Rhinolophus ferrumequinum: one gene and its partner. The protein of the gene in region 2 interacts with the protein of the main gene of each other region in a pairwise test. Links are inferred from orthologs where the notes say so. Each region holds a gene or a part of one and is shown on either strand. Other genes may lie near its edges.

The links.
Region 1: the proteins of GPANK1 (region 2) and CCDC184 interact in binary tests that used the Homo sapiens proteins (3 or more experiments, as listed by UniProt). The two-hybrid records come from large-scale screens. The link is inferred for Rhinolophus ferrumequinum from reciprocal best matches to the Homo sapiens genes GPANK1 and CCDC184.

What each region holds. Positions count from the first base shown.
Region 1 is NC_046293.1:49,614,683-49,621,848, forward strand, and holds CCDC184 (coiled-coil domain-containing protein 184), read left to right. Parts: upstream 1-4,079; 5' UTR 4,080-4,609; coding exon 4,610-5,200; 3' UTR 5,201-6,431; downstream 6,432-7,166.
Region 2 is NC_046286.1:2,157,651-2,165,891, forward strand, and holds GPANK1 (G patch domain and ankyrin repeat-containing protein 1), read right to left. Parts: upstream 3,204-8,241; 5' UTR 2,910-3,203; exon of another isoform or gene 2,696-2,909; intron 2,376-2,695; 5' UTR 2,158-2,375; intron 1,883-2,157; exon of another isoform or gene 1,880-1,882; 5' UTR 1,778-1,879; coding exon 1,167-1,777; intron 647-1,166; coding exon 205-646; 3' UTR 56-204; downstream 1-55. Other genes in the region: CSNK2B (casein kinase II subunit beta), read left to right, coding at 4,138-4,209, 4,910-5,012, 5,582-5,697, 6,142-6,217, 6,323-6,512, 7,155-7,245; LY6G5B (lymphocyte antigen 6 complex locus protein G5b), read left to right, coding at 8,120-8,192.

The DNA of each region.
Region 1 (7,166 bases), on a different chromosome or scaffold from region 2:
AGGGTGCATGAGGCCCTGCACCAGGGCTCTGAATGCCTGTGTGAGCGTGGCCAACTACCCAGCACAACCTAGACTGGGACTAGTCATGTCAGAGTGGAACAGGATAAAGGACTGAATGTGCACTAAAAGTGGGAAAAAGCCCCCGCAAGTGTTGACACAAGAAGCTGTTGCAGTGGGCAATGCAGAAAGGGAAGACAGGGTGAACACCAGAAAAACAGGTCTAATTGGAACGACAGGTTATTTGGAATGACAGGTGGAAATTCAGACTACAGGAGAGGTTAGAAGGTCTCCTGGAATTCTTGCTGAGTAGTTAATATGGAAGAGAAAGGAATGGGGGTGACATGGGGGTCTGTCCTTTAGGACTCCTAAAAGTAGTTTGAGGGCACACAGCAAGCAACTAGAAGTCTAGTAACTCAGGCCTTAAGTAAGGGGTGTGTGTGTGTGTGACCTCGTGGCCATGTCTATGACACTAGAGTCTCTTGAGAGAGTAGGCAGTTGGAACCCCTCTCCAGTCAAAGGCTCAAAAGATTTGAGGGTTCTTGTAAACTACCATGCCAATTTCTCTGTATAAGCATGGAGATGAGCAAAGAAGGGTGGCAAACCCCCATGAGAGGCAAACCTCCCTCCCAGGCTGATAAAATTTAGTCTAATATGTGACAGACAAAACCTGCAACAATACCAGTATTCTTAGCCTCTCAATATTTCTTACCCTCTAGGAAGGGACCCCTGTCATTGACAGCTGGGGCTCCTGACATCTGTGCAGATGAGGGGAAGGGGGGACAGAATCAAAGGAGCTGAAACAAGGAGTTTCTTCTTGTAGAAGAGAAAAAGGATCCATCCAAGAAGTGAAGGGGGGCAGGCAGTGAAAAAGCAAGGGCCATGCTTGAGAGAAAGTTTGGGGATGTTTGGGGAGAAAGGAGAGAGAATGGCAGACAGCTATGCCATAAAGAGAATGATGAGGGAAGAGAAGTTTAAGATGTCTTCCTCTATGCTAAACCCCTTTAGAGTTTTCCCAGAGATTATAATAAAAAATATAAATTGCTTTTTAATTCTATTTGGCTATTAGATATGTTTCTTTTGAATGTGATATCATGCCGAGATGGGCCACAAGGCAACTCAGCTTCATAAAAGTTGAATTTGGGGAGACATATCGGTGATTGTGGACTTAAGGATGAAACAGTTATTCTAGATCTAGAGGAACAGAGCAAGCGTCTTCACCATGACTGTTAGATTTATAATGCCAAAAGTATACCAGCTATATAGAGACTGGAGATAAACTACACAACAGCTAGAGAAAACTGGCAGAACTACTGAGAATCACAATTTTAGAGAGAATGTGACGTTTGGGACTAAGTGTACCTATGTGGAGACTTCTGTGTATGCAGCATGGACTCTATTCCCCTCCTTAGCCTATGAGACTGGAATGAAGGAACAGAACAGCTAGGTGATTCCCAGAAGACAGAGAAAGGCGGGAAGCAGAAGAAGAGTGTGCAGGGTTTCTTTTTTTCTTGCTATGTGGCATACTTTTTATATGTGAATACTCTAGTGACATGGCCAGAGTACCCATTCAGCCTCTTTTTCCTTGGGAATGGACCCACTCAACAAACGCCAGGGAATTGGAGTCCAGAGGGCTCAGCCCTGTATCCCAGCAAGATAACTGAGGCTCTACTTCACTCTCTGCATCTGTCCCCCTTACTTTCTGAGACTAAACCCTTCTCCTATTTTCCCTGTCTCATGTTCACATGGAATTCCTAAAATTATCTGGTTCTGAATCTGAGGCACCAATTGTTTCCTCCTTATGTTTTCAAGTTCTGCTACTTGTCCACTCCCCCACTTCCCACCACCCCTGGCTCTCAAATGTCTGACCTGGAGCTTGACTGGATCAGCCCCACCCCTTGATCTCTGCACTTGTTTCCCAGGGTCTTTCATGCTTCTCCAATAATTTCCCCTCCCTCTAGGCTCAGACCCCTGGCACTCTCAGTGGACTTCTGCCAGCACCTCTGGGAGCATGATGTAATCTTATGCTGAAAACCTTGACATACATGGTATCCCCAACAATAGTGGCAAAGGGCCTTGTATGATGGTATAATCCAGCTCCTACAATATGGGGGCTACATTTAATGTAAGGTGAAGGCTAAGAGGGAGGCCCTATACTGGGGACAGGGTCAGTCCTTGTAGATGGAAGCAAGAACTCACCTGAAGGGTGAAGGAGCCGACAAGTCCATGCCAAGTGTTGGTCAAGAAATGTGAAGCAACAGACCCAAGCAAAAAGACCTGCAAGTCACGACTGTCTTTTCTAGTTAGAGCAGAGTATAGATTTTTTTGGTAAAGTCAGCTGTGCTTAGGGAAGCCAAGGAAACGCATTTTTGTCTTCTCCTGAGCTTTCTGAATAACCTGTAGGGCACATGACAAAGGTGGGAGAGATAACCAAGGTGAGAGCGCCACAAGTTTGTGGAATGAGTAAGGAAGGAATGAGCAAGCAAACAGGATTAGATCATTTGTTTTAGAAAATACAATACCGTAGGGGTTTTAATTTGTTCATATATTTGTTTAGAAAATCAAATTTCTAATGGGTGCACAATACTTTATTATATCAGCAATGCCTTAAACACTCTGCTGTTTAGGGTATTTTCCCAATTATTTCTATTTTAATAGCAGTAAAACAGGCATAAGCCAAACAGTTCTTTAGTGCCCATAAGAGTTCCTCTGGGCCAGTCCTACTTTTCCTTACCAGAGTACACAACCAGGGAAACCTTGAACCACCAGGATACAAAACACTCCCTCATACCTAGCTCTTCCCCCATCCTGGAGTGATACAGTTCTTTTCTCCTCCCCAGATTTATTTCTTCTCGTGAACTTCATTTTTGGTTTCTGATCATTTGGCCTCTCCAATTGACTAAGGTTATATTAGTATGCTGCTACCCAGGTGCTGTTTACTTCTGAGTCTGAAGTCATCTGTAAATATGTGAAATCCCATTTTTCTTCCTCCTGCTCCCCTCCCACTTGGCCCCTTAAGTAGGGAAAGGAATTGTCACGAAGGTTGAGACACTCAGTGTAGGTCTGTACCTGGGCACCAGGCCTGAGGAGGGGCAGCTATCCTTACACACACTGTCACCCTTTCCACCTGTGAGCTGATGCACAGGGTTACTCAGAAATAACATTATAAATTATCCAGTCCAATCCTCTAACAGATCAGGAAAACGACTTATTTAAGGTCTCTGAGTTAATAAGTGGCAGATACAAAACTGAGTTCAGGTCTCCTAAAATCCACTATGTGTGGGCTGGAGGGTTACCGATGGGGGAACAAGACATAGGGTTCTTGTTCTTCATTCAACAAATGTATTGAGCACTTACTACGTGCCAGGCACTATTTTAGGTACTGGGGATTCCCTGATGGTGATGGAAGGCACGGAGGAGACAAAAATCTCTTCTCTTATGGAGCTGTCTTTTTCAAAACTTAAGTACTTTGCCTCATCATCCTGGAAAAATTCCCAGTGCCCTGGGTAGGAGTGGGTGGGTCTCATACGGGAGGGGGAATCTCATTCTTTCTCGGTTCCTGTGCTATATCTACACGCAGAGGGCTGATTTACTGCAGAAGCCGAATAGAGATGCGGAAACCTCCAGAGTGTCCTCCCCCCTACACCTCCAAGGCCGGCCGGGCCGGCTCCAGGGCGCCGCCGCGTCCCAGCTCGTCTAGGATGCTGTATCCTCTCTGCTTTCCTGCGGACCGCTGGAGGACAGAGAAGCAGAACTCGGCTCTAGCGCAATCCTCTGAAGAAGGACTGCGGGCAGATGAATATCCTTCCAAGGTAGTAGGCTCAGTGTGTAGCACCCAGACTAGGAGAGGGGATGACCTCTCCCGGACCTGGGGGTTTATGCAGCAAACTGCTCTCATGCTTCCCTAAGAAATATTGCAACCACACGCTCTTTCCAGCCTCAGCTGAGGCCACTGCAGCGTACCCTCCCCTCCCGCCCCACCCGCTCGCTCACACACCAGAGCCCCACTGCAGCTTCCCAGCCATCCTCCCTTTTCTTCTCCACTTCCTGGTTGCCATGGAGACACGTCATTTACGTACCGTGCGTCGCCTTGGAAACGGGAGCATCCGCGGCGCTGCTGGGAAGCCCGCCCCTGCCGCTCCTGTCACACTTGCAGGCGCTGCCAGTTAATGGCCGGGGGGGAGTCCCGAGCTGGACCTGCTGCTGGCCTTGGCCTCGACCCGGGTCCCTTCGCAAACGCTTCTGTGATCCAGGGAATCGGCGGGCACTTGCTGCTCGTGGCTCCGGGAGGGCGGCGCTGACACGAGCGCAATCCAGAAGGCGAGGCAGCAGGAGAGGGCACTTTCGCCCCGGGGCAAGCGGCAGAGACACCGGCCCTGGGACTCTCGTCGGGTCTTAGTCCCGCAGGCTCTTCCGGGCCTCCCCGGATCCTGCCGCACCCTCTGCCCGGGACTCGTCTCCTCACGTCGGCTCCCCGCCCCTCTCAGGAGCATCCCCTTCCCTCGGCTCCTCCCAGTCCCTCCCGGGACCTCGCCTCCTCCCCGCCCCTCCCCCACTCTGGAGGCCGGGCTGGACCGGACCCAGAGCGGCCACCGCCCGCTTCTGCCATTCAATGGAGGACGGTCTGCTGGAGATCATGACCAAGGACGGCGGCGAAATGCCGGCACCTCTGGAGGTGTCCACCGTGCCGGCGGTGGGGGACGTGATCTCCGGCGAGTACAACGGCGGCATGAAGGAACTCATGGAGCACCTGAAGGCCCAGCTGCAGGCCCTGTTTGAGGACGTGAGGGCGATGCGGGGGGCCCTGGACGAGCAGGCTTCGCACATCCAGGTGCTCTCGGACGACGTGTGCGCCAATCAGCGGGCCATCGTCTCCATGTGCCAGATTATGACCACGGCGCCCCGCCAGGGTGGCCTGGGCGTGGTCGGCAGCAAGGGGAGCTTTCCGGCAGCCCCGCAAGAACCAGAGACCCCTTCTCCTGGAATCGAGGACAGCGGTTTGCTGGGTCGAGATCCTGAGGACGAGGAAGACGACGATGAAGAGGACGAAAAGAAGATGCCCCGCTCCGCCACACCCACTAGTCACTGTGAGCGCCTTGAGAGCCCCCGTGCTGGTCTCCTTGGTGGGGCCGGGCCACTTGTGGAGCCCCTCGATCTGCCCGACATTACCCTGCTGCAGCTGGAGGGCGAGGCCTCCCTGTGAGGGGACTCCGAGGGGCACTACTTTCCCGGGCTGGCTTTGGGTTTCCGAGTGCATGACGCCAGCGGACTCAACAGCGCGGTGCAGCACGCTTCACTCCGATCGCTGCTCTTGTGGGTCAGGCAGAGAGAGACTCCCTGGAGGAAAGATCGATAGGGTGAAGGACTTTTTGGGAGCATCAAGAATTCTTTCTGCCTAACCATGCGAGACGTAGCAAACTGCGGAAAGGTGAGGTTCCCGGAGAGGAAGCGCCCATCTCTGGACTCTCCCATCCATCCTCTACCCTTCCTTTCCCCCTGCCCAGCCAACAGGAGAACCCCTGAATTGTGTAAATAAAATTCTGCTTTTTCTATTATGAAAAAGGACTTTTCTAGGACTATGGCAAATAGTCTCTAACGATTTACCTAGAAATTAAGGAATTGGGGTATTCTGTTCTGGCAACAGAAAATTTACCCTTCTGCTGAAATCCAAGATATTCAGCGCTCTACAGAAGCCTCTCCCCCTCACAGATCTCTGCGGCTGCTGATTGGTAAAGAAAGCTTGAGGAGGGAACTGCAGCCCTAGGAATCTGAGAGAATGGGGTTCCCAGGGCCCCCGGGCTGGGAGGAGCTGGCTGTGAATGTGCATGAAGACATAATAGGTCGACCTCTAGGATTTTGCATGCAGAACGGATCCTGCCTTGCCACTGACTTCATCTGGAATTGCTTTATCCACTCACTGGGGCTTAGAGAACAAAGAGCCCAGTTCACAGGCAGAGACTTGGGGTGCTCAGCAACAGCCCAGATTTAGGGGACATTTGAGGGACTCTTGGGAGCTGCAGCCAAAAACTGTCTCTCTCCTGGCTACACCCGCTTAACTTCAGTTCCTTTCCTGTCAATATGTCCCCTGCCTGCTGCCTCTCGGTGTTGCCTCCATGTCTTGTGTGTGTTACGTGTGTTGACTTGTGTAGTAGTGTGTGAGCCCTTAGGGGCAGGGCTTGTGGCTCTGGTGTTAGGTTCAGGGGGCTTCAGACCCTTCTGTGAGCCCCTGGCTATCATGGCGCTTTCCCCTCTCCTTTCCTCTTTTCCCCCACAACCAGGGCATGGAGCATGTGGCTGTCCTGAGGTTCTTAACTGATGTGCCTCCCTCCCATCTCCTCAATTGGTGACTTTGTGTGCCCTTCCTCCTCCTCTGTGTATTCCTTCTGAATGCTTTCCTTGGTATTAATCTTAATAAAGAGGTGTCATCTCCCCTCCTTGCTGACTGGTCCTAGGGCGATGTCAGTGTCGGGCTTCTGGGCCCGTTGCATGGACCAGGACTTAGAGGGAACCACAGGGACCATGCCTTCCCTCCTCTCTCCTTGCCTCCAGTTCCAAGGAGTTGACCATCCCTGCCCTGGTTTGGACAGTCCTTGCCAACTCTATCTGCTTTCCCTTCCATCCTGGACCTTGACTTCCAGCTGGACTGGGAAAAGAAAGGGTACGTGTTGAGACTCCCAAATTAACAAGGGTTTTTAGTAGCCAGAACTCCAGATGTACAAGAGACTTCTTTTCAAGTGAAGCACCTGGCCCCTGATACATGATTTCCAAATCTGAGTCCTGGAATGGCAGGCATGACACCTGTTTCCTGGGAGGTTTCCGGAGAGGGTATTGTTCGGGAGGTTTTGCCGGGGATCTCTGGGCAGAGTGACACATCATAAAGGAAACCGCAATAACTGCCTCAGGCCTCTAGTGGAGAATGCCGGTAAGGTGTTCCCCAGGGAGCTTAGACTGACATCAGCTGTAGTCAGCTCCCTTGGGCGTTGGAGATTTCCCAAGGCTATCCCAAACAAAATTTGGGAGAAGAATGAAATAGGATGCTGTGTGTGTGTGTGTGTGTGCGCGTGTGTGTGTTTGCTGCTGGTTGCTGCAGAGAAGTGAAAAGAGCATTGGAGTCAAAGAATCTCAGTTCCAACACTGACTGACTTCTTGAGACTTAGTTTCTGTATGTG
Region 2 (8,241 bases):
ACTTGTTTGGCTTCCCGCAACAGCTTTCAGAAAAGTTAATAAAACACAAAAGAGTAAGAAGGTTGATTTATTTCTCAACTCTCACTCAGCTCCCCTCTCCCAAAGATAGGGCCTACTGACCAAAACCTGAGGGTCTGGGACCTGGACAGGTCAGAGGCTCAAGTTCAGACCTCAGCAGCAGACCAGGGTCAGACCTTGCCAAGGTCAGAACTCAAGGTTCATGTATGTCCTCAGATCCCGCTCCCAGGCTCTGTCCTTCTCCTCCTGCCTTCTCTCCTCCCTCCGGCTCAGTGTAGTCACCTGAGGGACTCTCTCCCTCCCAGCCACTGCTCGGGTATCCTGAGCCCGAAAGTGTGTAACTCGAGGTTGAGGTGCTGGTCTGTATCCTAATCCTTCCTGGTCCCTCTTGAGGACTGTGGGGATGGGGATAACACGGCCCTTGCCCTGGGGTCCCAGCCCCATTCCAGGCTCCCAACCCCCCCTCAGCAGTAGCTTGAAGCCTGGGCTGGATGTGGGGATCCCAAGGGACAGGTTGGGGGTCTGGCGATCCCGGGACAGTGACAGCAGGTGAGCAGTAGATGTGTGATGGTTAGAGTCTTGGAAGTGGGCATCACAGGTGTCACAGTACTGCGGGGAGGACTGGGACCTGCAGAGGACGAAGAGAAAGGGTGAGGGCAGGGTTGGACAGGGTCCTTCCAGTTTTTCTGCTAAGGAAAAAATTGCCTTCTGCCCCGCTTAGCAATGAAGGACCAGAGGGGAATAGTTGGGAGAAGAGATGGTAACTAGGCCTCATAAGGCTCTTGGGCAAAAAAGGAATAATGGCTATAGCTAATGTTTCCATAAAGCTTACTATATGGCAAGCAGTGTTCTAACACTTTACATGTATTAATGCATTTAATCCTAACAACCCTGAGAAAAGTGCTCTTTTCCCCATTTCTCAGATGAGGAAACTGAGGCACATAGACGTTAGGTTGCTTGCCCAAGTAGAGTTAGCATTTAATCCCAGAGAACTCATGTTCATAACCACTCTAGCACACTGCCTTCCCTGTCAACCTATACGGGGATGGGGGAGAACCCTTCAGCTCTGTGCTGAGGCCTCTGGTGTGGAGTGGCTAGGAAGGGCAGAACACACTGAAAGAAGGACATGGGCACAGGCGTCCCCTCACCGGTTCTCTGGACTCCTCATCTCTCCGTGGCTCTCTCTGACGGTGCGGGCCACTTCAGGGAAGCCCGCTTCTTCGGCCAGCTGAGCAGCATCCCTGCCACCCAGCTCGCAGACCCCAACCCAGGCAGCCCCTCGCTCTAAGAGATAGCGCACAGCCGCTCCCTGGCCTGCTCGGGCAGCACACATCAGGGGGGTCCACCAGAAGGCATCCCGAGCATTGATATTCCCCCCAGCTCCCCCTTCCTCATGGGGATCCAAGAGCCTTCTTAGTTCTGCCAGGTTCCCCTCCTGGGCTGCCCTCAGTATCCACTGAGTCATTCTGTCCTCAGCTTCAAGAGATCTCCTTTGTCCATGCCCTCCTGCTGCTCCTGCTGCAGCCTCCCTCCTCATTCTTCTCTTCTTCCGCTTTCTCTCACTGGCAGGCTCAGGCTGTGATCTCTGGGGTTCAGGGGCACTGCTCTCTTCCCCAATCAAAGCCTCATAGAAAGCCCGGGCTGCAGCCCCATCCAGGGTAGGCTCCAGCTCTTCAGGCTGTGCCTGCTGCTGCCCATCTTTCCAGAGGTCGCTGGGGTCGGTGGCCGGGGTGAAGGTGATGAGGGAGGGCCTGGGCATGGCTGTGGGAGAGCTGAGAAAATCAGACTAGGCAAGGGGAAGATGAAACATGCAAGCCAATCCCGTGGTGGCCCTGCAGTGACCACAGCCACCTCCAGAGACCTGCTGGGATGAGGGAAAGTAGCTTTAGATTAAAACAAACAAACAAAAACCCTCCCACCCCAAAAGTTACCTCACAACCTAGGACCCTACAGGGCCTAAGGATGATAAATCACGTGGAAACACGGAACCCTACAATAACAGACCATGCCCTTTAGTAAAGCTTAACAAAGACTCCATGGGACAGTTACGCAGAGGTCCTGCGTTCAGCCCCCTCCCCCAACCTCATCAACAATAAAGAATAAGTAATCTCTTTGAAACTACCGCTCTGTAAGGCATACCATTAAGAAAAACAATCAGTCTGGCCCTTTAGACTTTCCTTGATCCTATTTTGGGTATTATCTTCTCAAACAAAAACAGACTTGACACTTCTCCGGAAGCAGGAAGCACATTTGGGGGAAGGCTGCAACCTGCGTTGTCTTGTAGCTTTCGTACTGCAAAATGGCACCTCTATGCAAAGCAGTTCACAAGATCAAGTAGCCAGACGACTAGAAGACGCCTGAGTGGAAAAAAACCAAACTTTTACTTGAGGGCACAGGCTTACAGAAAGCACCAGGTTTCCCGCCTTGCAACCTTTCCAATAGTATTCGCGCAAAGTACCACGTGCCAGCATAGCACGAGGACCGAGGATCTGTCAGTTGGGGTCCTGCTTTTATATAACGCCCCACAATGCCCTTCGCCTCCCTCAACTTGGTCCCAGCTCTGAGCTCATTTTCTGGAGCTGGGAAACCACTCTCTGGGTTAAAAAAGGCCCTGAGGAGGCGGAGGGAAATCTATGGAATGCCCAGAGCTGTGAAATAACGTCACGCTGCCCCTCACCATTACTCCAATCAGGGTTCGAAGGTCACACTTAGCGCCCGCAGCAGAAGGCCTCATTCAAGCCCTAAGAGGAAATGGAGAACTGCAAGGGGACGAGCAGCAGAATAATGGCTAGCACCACCTCAGGTTAGCGCTGGGCCGACCCGACTCTCACACCGCTCCGCTCAGCCCAGCACATCCTACGCAGGTCCCTCAGCACGGAGGCCGGCCTCACCTCCTGCCTCAGGCGGCCGGACCCCCAGGTGAAACATGGGGCCCGTCGGGGGTCTCCAGTGGCGTGTCTGGTTCGGGCGACGGGCTGCCTGGGGATGAAGTCAGTCCCCTGGCCAGCAGGGGCGCGCCGGGGCCGAAGTCTCGTTCGCTGTGTGAGGGGAGCGGCAGGAAATCACCCAGCCACCTTCGTTCCTTACCCCGCCCCCTCGCGACCCCCGGGTTCCGCGATCACCCGACTATATTTTTCAAGCTCTCTGGCCCAGGACACGGTACAGGGCTTCCGCTTCCGGTGGAGCTTCGCTGCGCCCCGCCCCTAGCATCTTCCCCAGGGGCCTCGCGACACCAGGGTCGTGCGCAGGTCACCCTGGAATTCGTAGTTCGCCTTTCCCTCGTTTCGCCAGTTTCTCACCATCAGAGACTCTATCTCCCGGCGTCCATCGCGGCGCCCGACCCCTGGCGCTTGCGCGTTGCCCTCTTCCCCACCCTCTCCAATTTCCACTCCCCCCTGCCCACTTCGCCTGCCGCGATCCGGTCCGCGGCCTGCGCTGTAGCGGTCGTCGCCGTTCCTTGGAAGTAGCAACTCCCCTCCCCCACCCCGGTCCTGGCCCCCGTCCAGCCGGTGAGTCTGAGGTCGTCGCCGCGCTGAGTGCCCTGTCCCTGGGCACGGCACATGGGGGTCTCCGCGCTTCGATGTGTTTGGTGGAGAAGGAAGAGACCTGGTCCGGCACCCAGGGAGGAAGAGGTGGCCTGAGGGGCGGAGGAGGGATGTGGGGACTCCTGCGAAAGGGAGCTGAGGGCCACCTCCCCCCCTCCCAGGCCATGAGGAAAAGAGGGGCCCATCTCTTGCTTGGAAGGAATAAACTTCGGCACGCTTGGGAAATGCCCCGGAACATGTAGAGACCTGAGGGAGCACGGCCAGAGTTGACGTGAAGGAGAGAGGGGACTGGCCTTTGGGAGCGTCAGGGACGTGGGTAGGACTGGTGGGTCAAGACCCGTCGGTTTCTCGCAAGTGGCGGGACCCCAAAGAATTTCTCATCTCAGAAAAAAGGGGTTGAGCTGTGAATAAGAGGATGTGGGGCGAGGTCCCAGAGTCTGGGACGCCTTAAGGAAAGGTGGCCCCAAATTCTTCCGTGGTTGGAGAGCAAAGTGTGGGAGGAGGGAGGATACCAGAGGCAGGGAGGGAGAACGTGGGTTACACTTACACTCTTCTTTCTCCAGCTGACGTGAAGATGAGCAGCTCAGAGGAGGTGTCCTGGATTTCCTGGTTCTGTGGGCTCCGTGGCAATGAATTCTTCTGTGAAGTGAGTTCTCTTCAATCTCCCTACCTTTCTCCACATGTAGTCTGGCCAGAGATTCTCCCACGTATTCAGCTTCTGCGCACTCGTCTCGCATGCTTGCATAGAAACGTTTTCCTGTCAAGGAAGAGTGCCCTCAGTAACCCACCACTAATTTGTGGTGAAATAGTAAGACTGGGGCCCAACTCCCACCCCTGCCACCCGCCAGCAGTATAACGTTGCACAAGTTAGTCTGTCTGTTTTATTACTAGAGGGGTATTGGTAATATCTATTTCTGGGGACTGGTAGGAGAATTAAAACGCCGCGTTGTAAAATGTTTCGTAGCATTTAACATAATGTGTTTCAACGTAAGGGATGTAACTGCCTTCAGAACCCATGCTTTTCAACCCCTACCTTTCTCCGCCATCTGCCCCTAAGGAGAGAACAAAACTGGTTCCTAGAGGGAGGAGCAGGAGTAGGGACAGGTATCTTGAAGGGGAAGCCTCTCTAAGGAAGGGAGTGCTGTACATGCTTATCCTTAGAAAAGAAAAGCCAAAGCTTCTATGGACGGCAGTGTAGGTAAACTGGGGAGAGAGACTCAAGTGCTTCTGCTGAGTTGGGAACAGAAGCAGCTGTCTTGAGGATAAGGCACCAGTTAGAACGACTTGCTCAGGTCAATGCCAAGGACTGTGCCATGGGTTCCCTCTTGACCTCTGCATCCTGACAGGTGGATGAAGACTACATCCAGGACAAGTTCAATCTCACTGGGCTCAATGAGCAGGTGCCTCACTATCGACAAGCTCTAGATATGATCTTGGACCTGGAGCCTGGTGAGTCACCTCAGGGTTGTTTTGTGTGTGTATGTGCTTTTTTTCTCTTCATATCGCTATTCATCTGCTTCTTGAATTTCTAAACTTCCTTTTTGTTGTCTGATTCCCTTAACCCAAAATCCCCTACTTCGTTTTGATTGCCCCTCCTGATTCTTGCCTAGTTTTGTGACTGATACCACTTGTCCCCGCGTTCTGATGCTATAACTCAGCTATATTCCATAATGCATTTCCCCAGGGTTCTCATTTTCCGCTTCTTTATCCTACCTTGCACTTTCCAGCTATAGTTACATCTTCTGCATTGATGTCTTTGCATTTGTGTGTTGAGGAGGGAATTGGGAAGGAGAGAAGAGAGCAGAGGCTGGGAAGGTGTGGAGAGAAGGTAGAGCTACCTTGGGTTAGTGGAAGCGTCAGAGGCCCGGGTTTCTGGGTCAGGTGCCCACATGATAGGTGGGGAGAGACTCAAAGGTGGGTGTACTGAAAACTGAGTAGCCAGCAGCCCCCGGGGATGGGCAGGGCACCCAAGAAAGCTGTAAGACGAGTGGTTGCATTCAGCCGGGGCCCTGTTTCAGATGAAGAGCTGGAAGACAACCCCAACCAGAGTGACCTGATTGAACAGGCAGCCGAGATGCTTTATGGATTGATCCACGCCCGCTATATCCTTACCAACCGTGGCATCGCCCAGATGGTGAGGCCTCTCTACTCCTACTTGATTCCTGAGGCAGTAAGGGAAACAGGGGTTCCTGCAGCAAGAAACCACATGTTTCAACCTTGTCAAGGAGTCTAGCTGAGAAGAGGACAATGACCTCAGAACCTGGGCCTGGAATTTAATCCTGATTGGGGGTTGTTCTGAAGGGGGTGTTTTCAGGGAGGGGAACGTAACCTTGGACAGAGAATTGTTAGAGACTGTCTCTTTCTCGGGGAACAAACAGCAAATGGCTCTGATAGTCTGCAGCCTGCCTAAGTGGAGGAAAGGAAGCAGAGAGTCACATGGCCGGTCTGGGCCAGAGAAGGGGCCTCTGGACAGAAGGAGATAGGAACGGGGCACAGAGTGATATGGATTGGGCAGAGGAGGGGATTGCCTCTTCTCTTCACACCTACCCACCAGTCTTTTCCATTTTATTCACCTCAGTTGGAAAAATACCAGCAGGGAGACTTTGGCTACTGTCCCCGTGTGTACTGTGAGAACCAGCCAATGCTCCCCATCGGTAAGTGTTGGAGAAGGGGAAGGAGGGCAGCAGATGGCAGGTCCTCTGGAAAGGAGGTTGGGCAAGGTGGGAGAGCCTGGCGTGCTGAGCCTGGCTATCTCCCAGGCCTGTCAGACATCCCAGGTGAGGCCATGGTGAAGCTCTACTGCCCCAAGTGCATGGACGTGTACACACCCAAGTCATCGAGGCACCACCACACGGACGGCGCCTACTTTGGCACTGGTTTCCCTCACATGCTCTTCATGGTACACCCGGAATACCGGCCCAAGCGGCCCGCCAACCAGTTTGTGCCCAGGTGGGGAGCACGGCAGAATCACCAGGGGTCACAGGACAGGCCCAGACCCCCCCATAGAGAAGGGAAGAGGGGGCAAGGTCCTTTCTTGAGCTCTGCTTCTCCCAAAGCCAGGGCTCTCCCTGCTGAGGGACCCTGCCCTGGGGAAGTTCTTTGATTGCCTACGCCTCAGTCTCCAGATCTGTAAAATGGGGGTGATAATAGTACCTACCTGGCAGGGTATTTTTAAATATGTGAAGTGCTTAGGATAACGTTTGGCACTTGAAGCACCATTGAAACAGTGGCTGTTCTTACACCGTCTTGGTGTTCGTCCTTGGCCAGGACATCTCAGAGCCACATTTCAGGTGTGTCTTATCTTCCCTAGAGCATTGTTTTTCCCCTGGCGTGGGGAAGGAAAGTTCAGTTTTACATTGAAACAAGTACTGATACAGACATCTGTGCACATACATACATAGCCTAGACTTGAGTTTTAATGGATGTTTAAGGTACATTCCCAAATATTCTGGAGGGGAGGAGTTTGGGAACCACTACCCTTCAGCACTGAGCAGGCTCGTGGACGAGCTGGGGTGGGGAGCAGGGATGCAGGCTGCTGGCAGGGTCGCGTGGGGCTCACTCTGCTGCCTCTTGACCTCTGCCCTGGTCCAGGCTCTACGGTTTCAAGATCCATCCGATGGCCTACCAGCTGCAGCTCCAAGCCGCCAGCAACTTCAAGAGCCCAGTCAAGACGATTCGCTGATCCCCTTCCCACCTGTCCCTGAGTGTCCTCAGTCTTTGACACCTCCATTCCTTTGCTGCCACCCTTTCAGGAACCCTCCATGGTTTTTAGTTTAAATTAAAGGAGCCATTATTGTGGTGGGAATATGAAATAAAGTGGAAGAAAAGGCCATGAGCTGGTCTGGTGCTTGGGGTTGGGGAAGGGAGGGTAGTGGTGTGCTGGACGCCAGGGGTCCTCATGGCCTAGTCCACCCTCCCCAAGTTGAAAACCAGCACAGATTTGTGCCCTGTGGATTTGGGTGATGGTGTTAGTAGCAGAGCAGAATTCCTAGGACTGGGTATGCGGGTGTGCAGTCACAAGGAAAAGACCCAGAGAAAAATGAGATTTCAAAGACTAGAGAAATGCTTGTTCTTTTGGGACTGCTTACGGCTGTCTGTTTATACTGTAAAGGGAAATAACACTATCTTTCGGTTTTGGTTTTACAGGGAAAGGGGTTCAAAAACAATTATAAGGGGTGGAGAAAGGAGGGAAGAGGTCCAGAATTGCTGTTCCATGGTGTTGTGCGGCCCCTGCTGGGGAAACTGAGACATGCTCAGCTCAGAAGGATGGGGATACTGAGTTCCTGGCCCAAGTTCCTCCCAACACGATAGGAACTGGCCCTGCTGTGTGGGGAGAACAGCAGATGGTGCCAGAGACAAGCTAATCCGTGGGCCCTTGAGGGGCAGGAACAGATGTTGGGGAGGCATGCCGGACAAAGGTAGCTGGATGAGGGCCTAGGTGTTGCCCTTGTCCCAGCCACTGCTCCCACGTTCAGGAACCAGACCTTGTGGGTGAAGACACACTGTCCCTCCTGTCAAGTTAACTTCCTGCAGCCCGAATCCTGCCCCAGGCAGGAATGCAGCTACCCACAGCAGCTCCGGCTCAGACTCTGCCTGCAGCTCAGGATCAAAGAGCACGGTCACAGGAAGGTGGGGTTTCAGGACACCCCTCAGGGGCTGCCCCTGTCCCCATATTCCA